2 linked regions of the Xenopus tropicalis genome follow. The protein of the gene in region 1 interacts with the protein of each later gene in a biochemical or structural test. Links are inferred from orthologs where the notes say so. Each region holds a gene or a part of one and is shown in the gene's direction. Other genes may lie near its edges.

Region 1 (6,923 bases):
AGACACTTTGATATCAGTTCTATCACCCCCTAAGGGATGGTGCTTCCCCACACATTAGGTAGAAATAAAATGAAGCTGGGCTGCCTACCGTGCTTTAGCTGAGGTTGAACAACAAATCCTAAGAATCATAGCATTCATGCTCCTTAATACCCATGAGTATGGAAAAGGGACACTGCTACTGGGAGTTGGTACCAGGCCACAACCATGTTTTTACTGGTGCTGGGTATCCCTTGCACTGATTTAAGCTGGGTGCATTTATAGTACAGTAAATTCCCATGAATATTCTTTGGTTTCCCTAAATTCAGTGCATGGTACCAAATACAAGCCTGTGACCGACCCAATAATCTTTAGACATATGAGTGTATATATCTTTGTGCCAAAGAGAGGAAAATCAAATATTCTCTAAGAGTAATAGCACTGAGAGTATTCTATATAATTAAAAAACTGTTAATAAGGCATAGAATTTATAGATTGGCTGTTAATAGGGGTTAAAGGAGTTCCTTAGGAATCTTGCTGACCAACAATAAAGGGCCACTAGTACACAAATACCCTTGTACACTTGTAGGGTGGCACACTAAACTGGAAGCAAATGTATGTAGAGATGAACGCCATGCGTAGGTACTTAAGCCCATACAGGCTCGTTAATAGAGTTGTATTCTGTATTCGGGTCCGATTGTCAATTTGGAGTTAGAAAGGAATTTTTCACCTCTGAGGCAAATTAGAGAGGCTTCAGATGGGTTTTTTTTTGCCTTGGGCCAAACAATTGAATTACAACTATGGAAGAAGACCCATCAAAGTGAGGACTGCATCAATGAGCCAATGCAGTCTCTGATCAAACCTGCCTGATCAACATCCGGACAATTTGAGGCCAGATATCAGTTGGATGGGCCCATCAGGGGTCCCCTTACACAGGCAGATAAGCTGCCACCTTATCTTGTCAGTGATCTAGGCTTTAAAAATGCTTTTAAGAACTATTGCCTACTGAAGACAAGGTATGACTTGGCGTGGAGATATTGGATCTCTTTGATGGTATTTTAGCTAAAGGCTGATAAAGAGTCAACATTATATTAGGCAACTTGATATATGGGGTAAGATGACCAGGATTTCACTTCTGGATTGGACTTTCAATTTTTATAATTATTATAACAAGGAGTTAGCGCTAAAAAAATATACCACCAAGTGTAAAAATTCTATAATATTTTAATCAATCATTAAATCAATACAAAAAGATACAAGTCATAAGTTAAAAGATACAATAGGATATAGTGATAATCAAAAACAGTTCGTTAAAACTAAAATGTTGGCCCTATTAGTTCATTAAAAAAGTGAACTAGGATAAATGAGGATGGTACAATAAATACGTGCATAAATAGTCATTTAAAAAGCTAAACGTATTTATTGTACCATCCTCATTTATCCTAGTTCACTTTTTTAATGAACTAATAGGGCCAACAATTTAGTTTTAACGAACTGTTTTTGATTATCACTATATCCTATTGTATCTTTTAACTTATGACTTGTATCTTTTTGTATTGATTTAATGATTAATTAAAATATTATAGAATTTTTACACTTGGTGGTATATTTTTTTAGCGCTAACTCCTTGTTATAATATTTATATATTCACTGTGAGGATTAGTTTGGAGGAAGGAGGCTATTTATGATATTCTATTCACTATTTGGGTAAGAGGATTGTTGTTGGGTAATTTAATTTGTTTTTTAGAATAATATTAGTCTTTCACGAACTACACATAAATTTATTAGAAGCGCGGGTAAGGTTTATTCACACAATTTTGATAATTATGTCTATTCTCCACCCACCCTATGCCTCGGTATCTGTTATTTAGTCTCTTCCCAATGTGTCCTCTAATATAGAGGCATCAGGGGCTCTCAAGGGATCAGATTGACAAGATAAGATAACCAATTTTTTTTTCATATAAGCAATTGTCTGTAATTTGGCTCATTCATTTAACCAGTTTATATAAACATTTGTGGTCAATTTCAATCATGCGACGCAACCAAAAAGGTTAAGAATCACCTACTAAAACGTCAAAAGCCACGTAAAGCCAGGTAAAGCCAATCTACTATGTAACGGGGCCTTTTAATGATGTGAGGCTGGCAGTGCCAAAGCCATTAGACGCCTACTATTAATGCTCGGCTTTGGAGAGGTTAATGCTCTATACAGAAAAAACACTGGATATCAATGGTTAAAGGCTGACGTTCGCATTACAATATGGACACAAAAGCGCCACCTAGTGCTCAGCGTCTGTGCAAGCGCATACCCCTACCATTTGCCGCAAGCCGCAGCAGTGCGCGTCAGCAAAATGTGGGCGGTGCCGCATGTATCGGAAATGAGGTCATTCCCAAGAACCGGAACACCTTCCTTGTCTGGTTCTCTTGTGCTGTTATTGTGCCCGGAGGAAGGAAAAGCGTAGAGCGGTCCAGTGTAGCGAACCGATACCGGCCGAGAGCAGTTAGCATGTCTGATCAGGTGAGACACTTTTGTGGAGTGGGCGGGAGAACGAGAGAAAGTCTCTGGGACGTGTGTGTCTTGTTTTGTGTGTCTGGAGACCTGCTTGTAGATGTAAACAAGTAGGTCTCATGGCTACACATTAATATGCAGCTAAAGTAGTACATGCGGCCCATAACCAAGGGCGGCAGCTAAGTCATTTACTTTCATTTTATACGACACTTAGACTATTAGAGCTGGTTGCTATGGGTTTCTGCTGCTGTGCACTTTTGCTGGATAAACTGCTCTATAGGACCCACACCCCGTTGTGTGTCGTGTAATTTGCTTTATGTCTTATTGTCCAGTATGTGTATCTTCTCCTGTAGATGTTATTATCTGTGAGTAATTGCCCAGTGGTGGTTGGCGAAGTGAGAGGCCTAACAGGAAAGCCAGAGATATATTGGCCCATATAGTTATTTGACCTATATAAAGTATATATTAACCTAACAAGTTTCAGCAGCTTTAGCCTTATGGGGTCTCACACAGCATTGATTTGTTACAGTAGGGTAAATCTGTTAGCCTGGAAGAGCTCAAAGCATTTCAGAACTATCAGGTACATAAATTAAGTCTATTTATGAGCATCCACTAAGTGTTTGTAGATACATTATTATGTTTGGTTGAAAATATAACAATCGCGTTTAACCCTTCCAAACAAACACCGCTGCACACGTATACACATGTTAATTTAATTGTAGTGGTAATTCCCATTACCCAGGGGAGGTATCATGTTAAGCTGTGTGTAGGTATGTGGGAGTTAACGATTGATCTCTTGTAGTACACTCTGCTTGTTTATATTGTATGTAATGTTCAAGCACATCTTGTTTTCTTGCATGACTTTCATAGTTTAGGATCCCAATCTTATCTTTAATGCAGCCACCTAAAGGGTGACGGTTTAAACATTCAAGTGGACTACAGGCCAAAATGATTAGATCCCTGTGATGTTGGGCAGTACCAGCTAGTCCTGTCACTTCAAACTTTGCTGATGCCGCATTCATGTGGGCATGGGGACCACTGGGAGCCCCAAATTTCTGTCTGGCCCAATTAAGTGCACTTTCAATGGTGCGACGGATTAAATACCAGTGATGCACGCAGATGTTTCTGTTGAAAGCTGTTTTTCCCATTATTGGTATTTATTGCCTTACATTTAGGGCAACATTGCGTACATGCATTTGTGTCAAATGTATATCACTCTGTTATTTTGTATCTCAGTCTGTGGGTATGTGTGAACAAGTATTCCCATTTCATCATACACCTCTAAAATAGTGTCTGAAAAGTTGCTTTTTGTACAGCTTTACTGAAAAAAAATTTAAATACTTTGCTAGCACCATTGAGCAATTCCATTCACTGCTGGGTGCTTTTCCAAGATGTGCAGAAGAGTTAGTAGGGCTCCTAAATTATCTCTGCAAGTGTAATTTCAGTCTCTAACTTCCGCGCAGTTAGTTGTGTGTAAAACCACTTTCATTTGAGGTACGTAAGTGAAAATGCGCTTCTTAAAGGACAAGGAAAGTCGAAATCTATTAAGCACACTATTAAATAGTACTACTATTGCTGTGTAAAAACGCTATATTTCTGGCTTGCCCAATGAAATATTTACAGAGATACACATACTAGAACTTACATACTTGTTTCAGTGAACGGCGCCGCCATCTTGTCCAGCATGTCTGTATGGGCTATTGCTGAAAAGCACAAGCCAGCCCCCCTCCGATCCCCTCACCTGCCACAAACCCTCCACCGCTCCCCGCTTCTGCCACAACCCCCCCCCGCTTCTGCCACAACCCCCCCCCCGCTTCTGCCACAACCCCCCCCCGCTCCTGCCACAACCCCCCCCGCTCCTGCCACAACCCCCCCCTGCTCCTGCCACAACCCCCCCCTGCTCCTGCCACAACCCCCCCCTGCTCCTGCCACAACCCCCCCCCGCTCCTGCCACAACCCCCCCCCCCCTGCTCCTGTCACAAACCCTCCGCCGCTTCCCACTCCTGCCACAAACCCCCCGCCGCTCCTCCCACCTGCCGGCTCTGCATGTCACAAATGCAGATGCATCACTGCATATCAACTCCCCCGGCTCCCCGCTCCTGCCACAAACCCTCTGCCGCTCCCCCCACCTGCCAGGTCTGAATGTCACAGAGCAGAGTTCTCCTGTCGGCTGCGTCGCCATGGCAACCAGACGCTCCTGCTGTGTGCGCATGCGCTGCCTACAGTCCCAAGTTGCCAAGTCTGGGCAGGAGCGTTGCATTATGGGAATCTTCTCTACCCTGCTCAGCGTTTTTTTTTCCTGTTTGGCTTCTGATCTTCTGAACAGGTGAAGTATGGGGAGACTTAAGGGCACTATTGAGTCAACTGAAGGTATGCCTGCAGTTTGGGATTAACTCTTTATTAGCCTTTCCTTCTCCTTTAAACTTTAATGTAGGTGTGCTTGGCACAGCTCAGTCCTTCCTGTCTTGTGAACTAAGGCACAACACAATTGCACCAAGCACATTGACTCTTGCAACTGCAAAGATGCTGGAATTCTGGGAAAAATATTGCATTGTGGAAAAAACTAGGCGATTGCAGTTAAAATTGCACATGCAGATGTATAGGTACCCTGGTGTCTCATCAGTTTTCATTGTAGGATGTAAATCAATTGGCAGCTAGGCCGAGTTTGTGAAAGGCCACAAAGACCTTCCCTAGAGAAGCAGCATCTCTCTGTCAAGACCATTCTGATGTGTGGCTGTTCTCTGTAATGTTAGCAGTAAGCACAGTTTGGGTAGGAGGGAGAACCAGCAGATCCTTTATAGCACGTTGCTTACATGATGAGGGTGATTTTCATTTTAAATGTTTTTGGTTCTTTGTGGACAAAATGCATCAATACTGTATATACCTTTTCATGTGGTTCTGTTGTATGAAGATTTTATGCTAAATAGTATGTTACACAATCCACTACAACCTTCGGGCATTGATACAGAAGTAATTTTTATTGGTACAGTACCTAAAGTACTGTTTTACACCAGATTACTTCCCATTACTTCCCATTCCTTCCCCTGTGGCAGATATCGGATTGCTGGATAAACAAGATACAGTTAAGGAAACAAAGTAAACTGTGCAGAGTTTTAAGCCTTGCTTTAAGGGTGTATAACTAGGGATTTCATTTAGTTTCAGGCTTAGTGCAATTTTTAATAAGCACAGAGATTTTTATTACCAAATACCTTTCTTTATGACACCATTGTTTATAATAGCCCAGCTCCAAAACATGTGAAAGAGAGGATAATTGGCCCACAACATGGAATATTATGGGTTGCCCTGATGTAAAGGAAGAAAACAATTAAAAGGTGTACTGACTGTAATCTGAATTCTCTCCAGTGCCACCCCCAGGTTATTGGGGCTTCTTTTCTATCAAATTTCTGTAATTTTGGGTGACATCTGGCTTTCATAAAAATGCTTTATGTAGTCTGATTGCTGCATTCCCAGTTGAGAAAAACAGACTGCTAATTGTCTTGCATTGCTCCTTAGTCACTATGGAGTGTCAGCTACATTACATCAGGTGCTTGGAATGGTACAACGGAAGATTTCTGTCAGAATCCCTATAAGATGCTTGCAGAGAAGTACTGTATGGTGCAAATACCCAGCATCAGTTTGTGCCAATGATGCACTGAATTGTAACGGGATGTTCTTTACCTCTTGTATCAATCTATATTGTATGTAATTTTTTTCATGTTAACATACAATCTATTTTACAGCTTTGCGTGCTTGTTAGTACTTTATAAATGTGTGGTAATACAGAATGAACTCACTAAGTTTTCTTGTGCAGAATTATAATGAAATGAAGGTGACTGCAGGCAGCAGCACAATTCTTATTTTCCACTAGGTTGAATTCACATTTAGAATATTATTCCTCAGCTTTTTTTTTTTACCTGCTGATTCTATACAATATAAGCTGCTCCCTCTGTGCAAGGCTGAATCAGCAACATTGTGGCTATAAAAGGACATTGAGAAGAGTAAATTGCCTTTGTAATAAGGGACATTCAGAAGCAAATTGGCAAAGAGATCAAGAAACCAAACCTACATATATCTATTTATCTATAATTGTATGCATTTTTTTTTTGCAAATTAGAATAATCTAACTTTAACCACCCACCGTGTAACATTACACTGCCCAAGTCATGGATTTATATAAAAAAAAAAACTATTTTATATATATATATATATATATATATATATATATATAATTTAGTCCCACTCATACATATAAAGGTGTAGATAAATAAGACTCATTTTGCTCTGTAACCTATGCCCATAGAGTTATTGACTTTTCCGGATGGGGAAATTATATTCCCTTGAATACAATTATTTGTATTCGGTCTGTTACCTAATGGCATGTCATTAGTTAACGCTTCATTTCAGTATAAATATAATTGTGACTGGAATGCTGTTGCAGTTC
Region 2 (6,449 bases), on another chromosome or scaffold:
ATGTGTTTATGGTACTATCCTGAGGTTCTCCTCCTCTCCCCATGTGTTTATGGTACTATCCTGAGGTACTCCTCCTCTCCCCATGTGTTTATGGTACTATCCTGAGGTTCTCCTCCTCTCCCCATGTGTTTATGGTACTATCCTGAGGTTCTCCTCCTCTCCCCATGTGTTTATGGTACTATCCTGAGGTTCTCCTCCTCTCCCCATGTGTTTATGGTACTATCCTGAGGAACCAGATCCTAACCCTCCCCATGTGTTTATGGTACTATCCTGAGGTTCTCCTCCTCTCCCCATGTGTTTATGGTACTATCCTGAGGTTCTCCTCCTCTCCCCATGTGTTTATGGTACTATCCTGAGGTACTCCTCCTCTCCCCATGTGTTTATGGTACTATCCTGAGGTACTCCTCCTCTCCCCATGTGTTTATGGTACTATCCTGAGGTACTCCTCCTCTCCCCATGTGTTTATGGTACTATCCTGAGGTACTCCTCCTCTCCCCATGTGTTTATGGTACTATCCTGAGGTACTCCTCCTCTCCCCATGTGTTATGGTACTATCCTGAGGTACTCCTCCTCTCCCCATGTGTTTATGGTACTATCCTGAGGAACCAGATCCTAACCCTCCTCATGTGTTTATGGTACTATCCTGAGGTACCAGATCCCCCCCCCTTTCCATGTGTTTATGGTACTATCCTGAGGTTCTCCTCCTCTCCCCATGTGTTTATGGTACTATCCTGAGGAACCAGATCCTAACCCTCCCCATGTGTTTATGGTACTATCCTGAGGTTCTCCTCCTCTCCCCATGTGTTTATGGTACTATCCTGAGGTTCTCCTCCTCTCCCCATGTGTTTATGGTACTATCCTGAGGTACTCCTCCTCTCCCCATGTGTTTATGGTACTATCCTGAGGTACTCCTCCTCTCCCCATGTGTTTATGGTACTATCCTGAGGTACTCCTCCTCTCCCCATGTGTTTATGGTACTATCCTGAGGTACTCCTCCTCTCCCCATGTGTTTATGGTACTATCCTGAGGTACTCCTCCTCTCCCCATGTGTTTATGGTACTATCCTGAGGAACCAGATCCTAACCCTCCTCATGTGTTTATGGTACTATCCTGAGGTACCAGATCCCCCCCCCTTTCCATGTGTTTATGGTACTATCCTGAGGTATCAGATCCCAGATCCCTCCCCGTATATTTCTGGTTCTGTTATGAGGTGCTACATTCCTCCCTCCCCCCTGAGTTGCAGTTACAGGTTACCTCCCCAGGGGGCGCTGTGCTTAACCGCGTTTGTTTTCATATAACAGTAAAGGAAAAGCTGACGGCAGATCCCGACAGTGAGATCGCCACCACGAGCCTGCGCGTTTCCCTCATGTGCCCGGTGAGTGCTAATGGGCTCCCTGTTTAAGCTTACATTCACTGACTCCGCCCCCAGCACTGTCTGGCTGAGGATTCTGGGATTTGTACTGTAAAACAGAGGGATTAGCATCCATTTGGCAGCTTTATTTTCCCTTCATATTAAAGGCAAAGTAACCATTTAATGGGTAATGCTTTACCGACCCGCTTGCACTCAGACTGGATTAACCCTTTGTGGCTGCTGATTTCTCTCGCAGCTGGGAAAGATGCGCCTGACGGTGCCCTGCAGAGCCATCACCTGCACCCACTTGCAGTGCTTCGACGCGGCGCTCTACCTGCAGATGAACGAGAAGAAGCCGACGTGGACGTGCCCCGTGTGCGACAAGAAGGCGCCGTACGACATGTTGATCATTGATGGGTGAGACAGCTGCACCCCGTAGCCTCAGGGCTGTATGCGGCGGCCATGTATATCTGTGCCCTGCCACTCACGCTGTCCCTCCGCCCCCCGCAGCCTCAGGGCTGTATGCAGCGGCCATGTATATCTGTGCCCCGCCACTCACGCTGTCCCTCCGCCCCCCGCAGCCTCAGGGCTGTATGCGGCGGCCATGTATATCTGTGCCCAACCCCGCCACTCACGCTGTCCCTCCGCCCCCCGCAGCCTCAGGGCTGTATGCGGCGGCCATGTATATCTGTGCCCAACCCCGCCACTCACGCTGTCCCTCCGCCCCCCGCAGCCTCAGGGCTGTATGCGGCGGCCATGTATATCTGTGCCCTGCCACTCACGCTGTCCCTCCGCCCCCCGCAGCCTCAGGGCTGTATGCAGCGGCCATGTATATCTGTGCCCAACCCCGCCACTCACACTGTCCCTCCGCCCCCCGTAGCCTCAGGGCTGTATGCAGCGGCCATGTATATCTGTGCCCAACCCCGCCACTCACGCTGTCCCTCCGCCCCCCGCAGCCTCAGGGCTGTATGCGGCGGCCATGTATATCTGTGCCCAACCCCGCCACTCACGCTGTCCCTCCGCCCCCCGCAGCCTCAGGGCTGTATGCGGCGGCCATGTATATCTGTGCCCTGCCACTCATGCTGTCCCTCCGCCCCCCGCAGCCTCAGGGCTGTATGCAGCGGCCATGTATATCTGTGCCCAACCCCGCCACTCACGCTGTCCCTCCGCCCCCCCGTAGCCTCTTCATGGATATCCTCAACTCCTGCACAGACTGCGACGAAATCCAGTTCATGGAAGACGGATCCTGGTGCCCGATGAGACCAAAGAAAGAGAAGCAGGACATTTGCCAGCCGAGCCCATACGGAGGCATCGAGGGTGAGCTGGGTGGCTGGTACCGGGTGGGTAGAGCATCCCATTCAAATGCTAGAACCCCCGTATTCACTAAATGTCTCCGCCCCCTTTGCGTTGCAGCCAGTGGCATCTATAGCATGACCCCCGAACTCAAGCACAGCGCAGAGGCCAAGAAGAAGGTGGAGGTGATCGACCTGACTCTGGACAGCTCCTCGGACGAAGAGGAGCCACCGAGCAAGAAGCAGTGCCCCGTTACGTCCGCGGCTATCCCATCGGCCACGGGACCCAAGGGGTAGGTCCGGAGGGGAGTTGGGTGCCGAGTACAGGCCTGACATACAGGAAGGGTGCTAGTTACTTACATTTGCTTTCAGGGTCATCAGCGTTGACCACCAGCCATCGTCCGTATTACGGAGCCCACCCATGGCCACCATAGGCAGCGACTACCTGTCCAGCCTGCCCCTCCCGGATTATCACCGGTCCTACCCTGTCCCACCCGATATCCAAGGTAACCGAGCGGAGTATAGAGGGGGCACACTGGGGTAGTAGGGGGGTATTGGGGTAAAGGCTGGAGTGGGGGTAATAAATAAACTAATAAATGCCAATGCTTTCCTACCCCAGGGCTGGATCTGTTCTCCTTCCTCCAGGCCGACAGTACGGTAAGTGCCATTTCTATTTTACTTATTATAACCCGTTAGTCGCCAGATGCCCCTGTGCCCGCCAGGGATCCCCACTGTTTACATTTAAAGGGGCAGTTCACCTTTAAATTAACAAGTATATTATAGAATGACCAATCCTTAGCAATTTTTCAATTGGTCTTCGTTTTTTATTTCGTATAGTTTTTTTTTTTCTTGTAACTCTTTCCAACTTTCCGATGGGGGTCACTGACCCCGGCAGCCACAAACTATTTCTCTGAGAGGCTCCAGTTTTATTGTTATTAGGGATGCACCGAATCCAAGATTCCGTTCCGTATTCGGCCGAATCCGTCGGTGTGGGTTTGGGGGTTGGCCGAACCCATAGTTACTTTTTATTACACATCTTTCTATGCAGGCCCTCTCTTATTCCTATTCGCATCTCTCGTTCATACTGCTACCTGGTTGCTAAGGTAAATAAGACCCTAGCAACTGGATAGCTGGAGATTTGCTGAACAAAAAGCTAAATAACTGAAAAACCATAAACCAAAGCAACTGCCTCAAAATGGCAATGTCTACATCATACTAAACTCACATCTCTGATTATCTCTTCTTCCACTTCCTGAGCTGTTCTCTTCCCCTGGTTATGTGGGAGGGAGGGGCTAGTTTCCAAATGGTTGCTTGTTCCTCCCCCCCCCCCCCCCCTACCATTGCATTCATCTGTAAGTGTAAAGCCATTGGATGGAGCAGCATTTCCTTCAGGCTGCTTTATGTGCCTTGGAAATCTTTAAAGCTCCGCCCTCCCTGACCATGGGTAAGAGAACAGCCCAGAAGTGGGTATTCCCATAACTGTCAATTGATTGATTGTTTTTTTTTTTTGTTTCTCTCTCTTCCTATTCAGCATTACAGCCCTTCCGTCATCACTTCCCTGGACGAACAGGACGCCCTGAGCCACTTCTTCCAGTACCGGGCACCCCCGGGCCATTACATGAGCCCACTCACCCAGACCATAACGGGGAGCCACGCCACGCCCAGCGGCGCCAGTCGGATCAGTAGCATCGTGTCCACCAGTTCGCTGAGGGAGAGCCACAGTCACAACACGTCGCAGAGCGCCTCCTCGGCGCTACCGGGCTGCCGGCCGGACATCATATCCTTGGACTGATTGGGGGAGACCGGGCACGGGGCAGGCAAAAGCAGAAGAGCAACATTACAGCCGCTGAGCCTGGCACAGCTGGGGGGCCCCCTGCACTTGTGAACTCCACTAGGAATCCTGGTGCGCTCTCTGCCTCTGGGCTTCCCAGCTCTGCAAGTACTACCCCTTTCCAGCACTGTGGCCCTTGAATCCATTTTATTGCTCCTATCGATTTGGCATTTTATTCCCAAGCATTATATAGAAGGGGCCCTGCGGCACTCAGCTATATCCTACAGGGACACTCGGACGCACTAATATAGCGCCAGAGTTGCCCAGGGAACCCCTACGTAGCAACAGTTGTAGTATTAAATCCCACCCCCTTCGTCCATATCCCACTAGAGAGGCGCTTTTTTTTTTTTTTTTTTATACTGGAGGAAACTTCTTTTTTTTTTTTTTATAAAAAAAAAAACTTTATTGAAAAGCAGAAAATGTTGCAAAATATGGGACAATGTTTCCTGACTCGCGGGAAGACGATATTTCCAGTCGTATTTTTTGTAAAGGGGAAGAATTGTTTTTCCAGCAGTAAATGCCATCAGGATTATTTTTTACCTTTTTTTTTTTTTTTAAACGAGGATTTTATTTGCTCCAGATAATGCAATATCATCAATGTCAGCGTCTGTGTCTGGTATATAATGTATATATATATATAGGCCACGCCCACGACTAGTAGCTGGTGTGTGCAGGAAAAACTCCCAGCATCCTCAGAGGTCCAGATAATGCCGTCGCCCAACAAACAATATGGCAGTTTCCAATGGCAAGTTTGGATATTATATAATATACATAATATCAGTCAAGCTCTCTTGCCCAGGCACTCTGGTCAGCAGTGCTGTAAATGAGCCTTGCAGATGTAGGCTGATAAAGGCAGCAGCACAGTCTTACTTTACGGCAGGGATCCTGCATATACACACAGGTCTATCTTGAACCCCTGCCACAAAGCAAGACTGCTGATGCCTTCAGCCAGAAAGGAAACCGAGGCTACAGGTCACATGACTAACAGGAATTAAGCTGGATTTAACAGCCGTCCCCCCCCCCCCCAAAGTCCATTGTGGTGGAAAATAATGCTGAGATTTTACAATTACGAAATTATTTACAAACTAAATTTTTTACCCCTTTATTCAGTCGGCTCATCTGCCTGCTTATGTATAGAAATGGGAGCTGCCATATTGTTTGCAGAAGTATTCTGAGCAGAATGCAGAACAGCGCCACCTAGAGGGCATCATTTTGTTAAGGAGCTCTGCCTCTGCTGATCCCTTATGTTGTGCTCGCAATAAACCATAAACCCATACAGACTACATGAGAGCAAACGGCTACTAGGGGTGTAGTTTCCCTTGTATCCAACAGTTTGTTATGTTCTTTAGTCCCCTGAACGCCATAGTAACAACCATTATACACCCCAGATTTATAGCACAGGAACCCCACTGTCTGTAATAACAGCAACACAGCAGCCATATACCTCTAAATTATATAGTCAGTGGGCTGAAACTTGGGCCCATTTGCCCCTTTAGGAATCTCCCCCCAGTACTTACGCAGATACCCAGTTTTGATTCTCTGTACTTCCTGCTTCTGGGCTGCTCTCTTTCCCATGGTCAGACAAAAACTTCTCCTTTTGTAAGTGAATCCAGTCTTCCCTTAGTACGGACCAGGGCACAGAGCTCTGTATTTAAGCTGTTCCTGGGCTGCTCTCTTTCCCATGGTCAGGCAGGAATCTCCCCCTGGGTAAGTGAATCCAATCTCCCCCAGGTACAGAGCTCTGATTCTCTGTACTTCCTGCTCCTGGGCTGCTCTCTTTCCCATGGTCAGGCAGGAACCTCCCCCTGGGTAAGTGAATCCAATCTCCCCCCAGTACTTACCCAGGTACAGAGTTCTGATTCCCTGTACTTCCTGCTCCTGGGCTGCTCTCTTTCCCATGGTCAGGCAGGAACCTCCCCCTGGGTAAGTGAATCCAATCTCCCCCCCCCAGTTCTTACCCAGGTACAGAGCTCTG

What was found.
Region 2: the proteins of sumo1 (region 1) and pias3 form a complex in vitro, tested with the Homo sapiens proteins (2 studies listed by BioGRID and IntAct, with this or other methods). The link is inferred for Xenopus tropicalis from reciprocal best matches to the Homo sapiens genes SUMO1 and PIAS3.

Annotation. Positions count from the first base shown.
Region 1 is NC_030685.2:52,311,548-52,318,470, reverse strand, and holds the start of sumo1 (small ubiquitin-related modifier 1 precursor), read left to right. Parts: upstream 1-2,375; 5' UTR 2,376-2,479; coding exon 2,480-2,491; intron 2,492-6,923. UniProt on the Homo sapiens protein: Ubiquitin-like protein that can be covalently attached to proteins as a monomer or a lysine-linked polymer.
Region 2 is NC_030684.2:141,796,496-141,802,944, reverse strand, and holds the end of pias3 (E3 SUMO-protein ligase PIAS3), read left to right. Parts: intron 1-1,301; coding exon 1,302-1,375; intron 1,376-1,607; coding exon 1,608-1,768; coding exon of another isoform or gene 1,769-1,772; intron 1,773-2,531; coding exon 2,532-2,668; intron 2,669-2,764; coding exon 2,765-2,936; intron 2,937-3,015; coding exon 3,016-3,149; intron 3,150-3,262; coding exon 3,263-3,300; intron 3,301-4,174; coding exon 4,175-4,435; 3' UTR 4,436-5,881; downstream 5,882-6,449. UniProt on the Homo sapiens protein: Functions as an E3-type small ubiquitin-like modifier (SUMO) ligase, stabilizing the interaction between UBE2I and the substrate, and as a SUMO-tethering factor.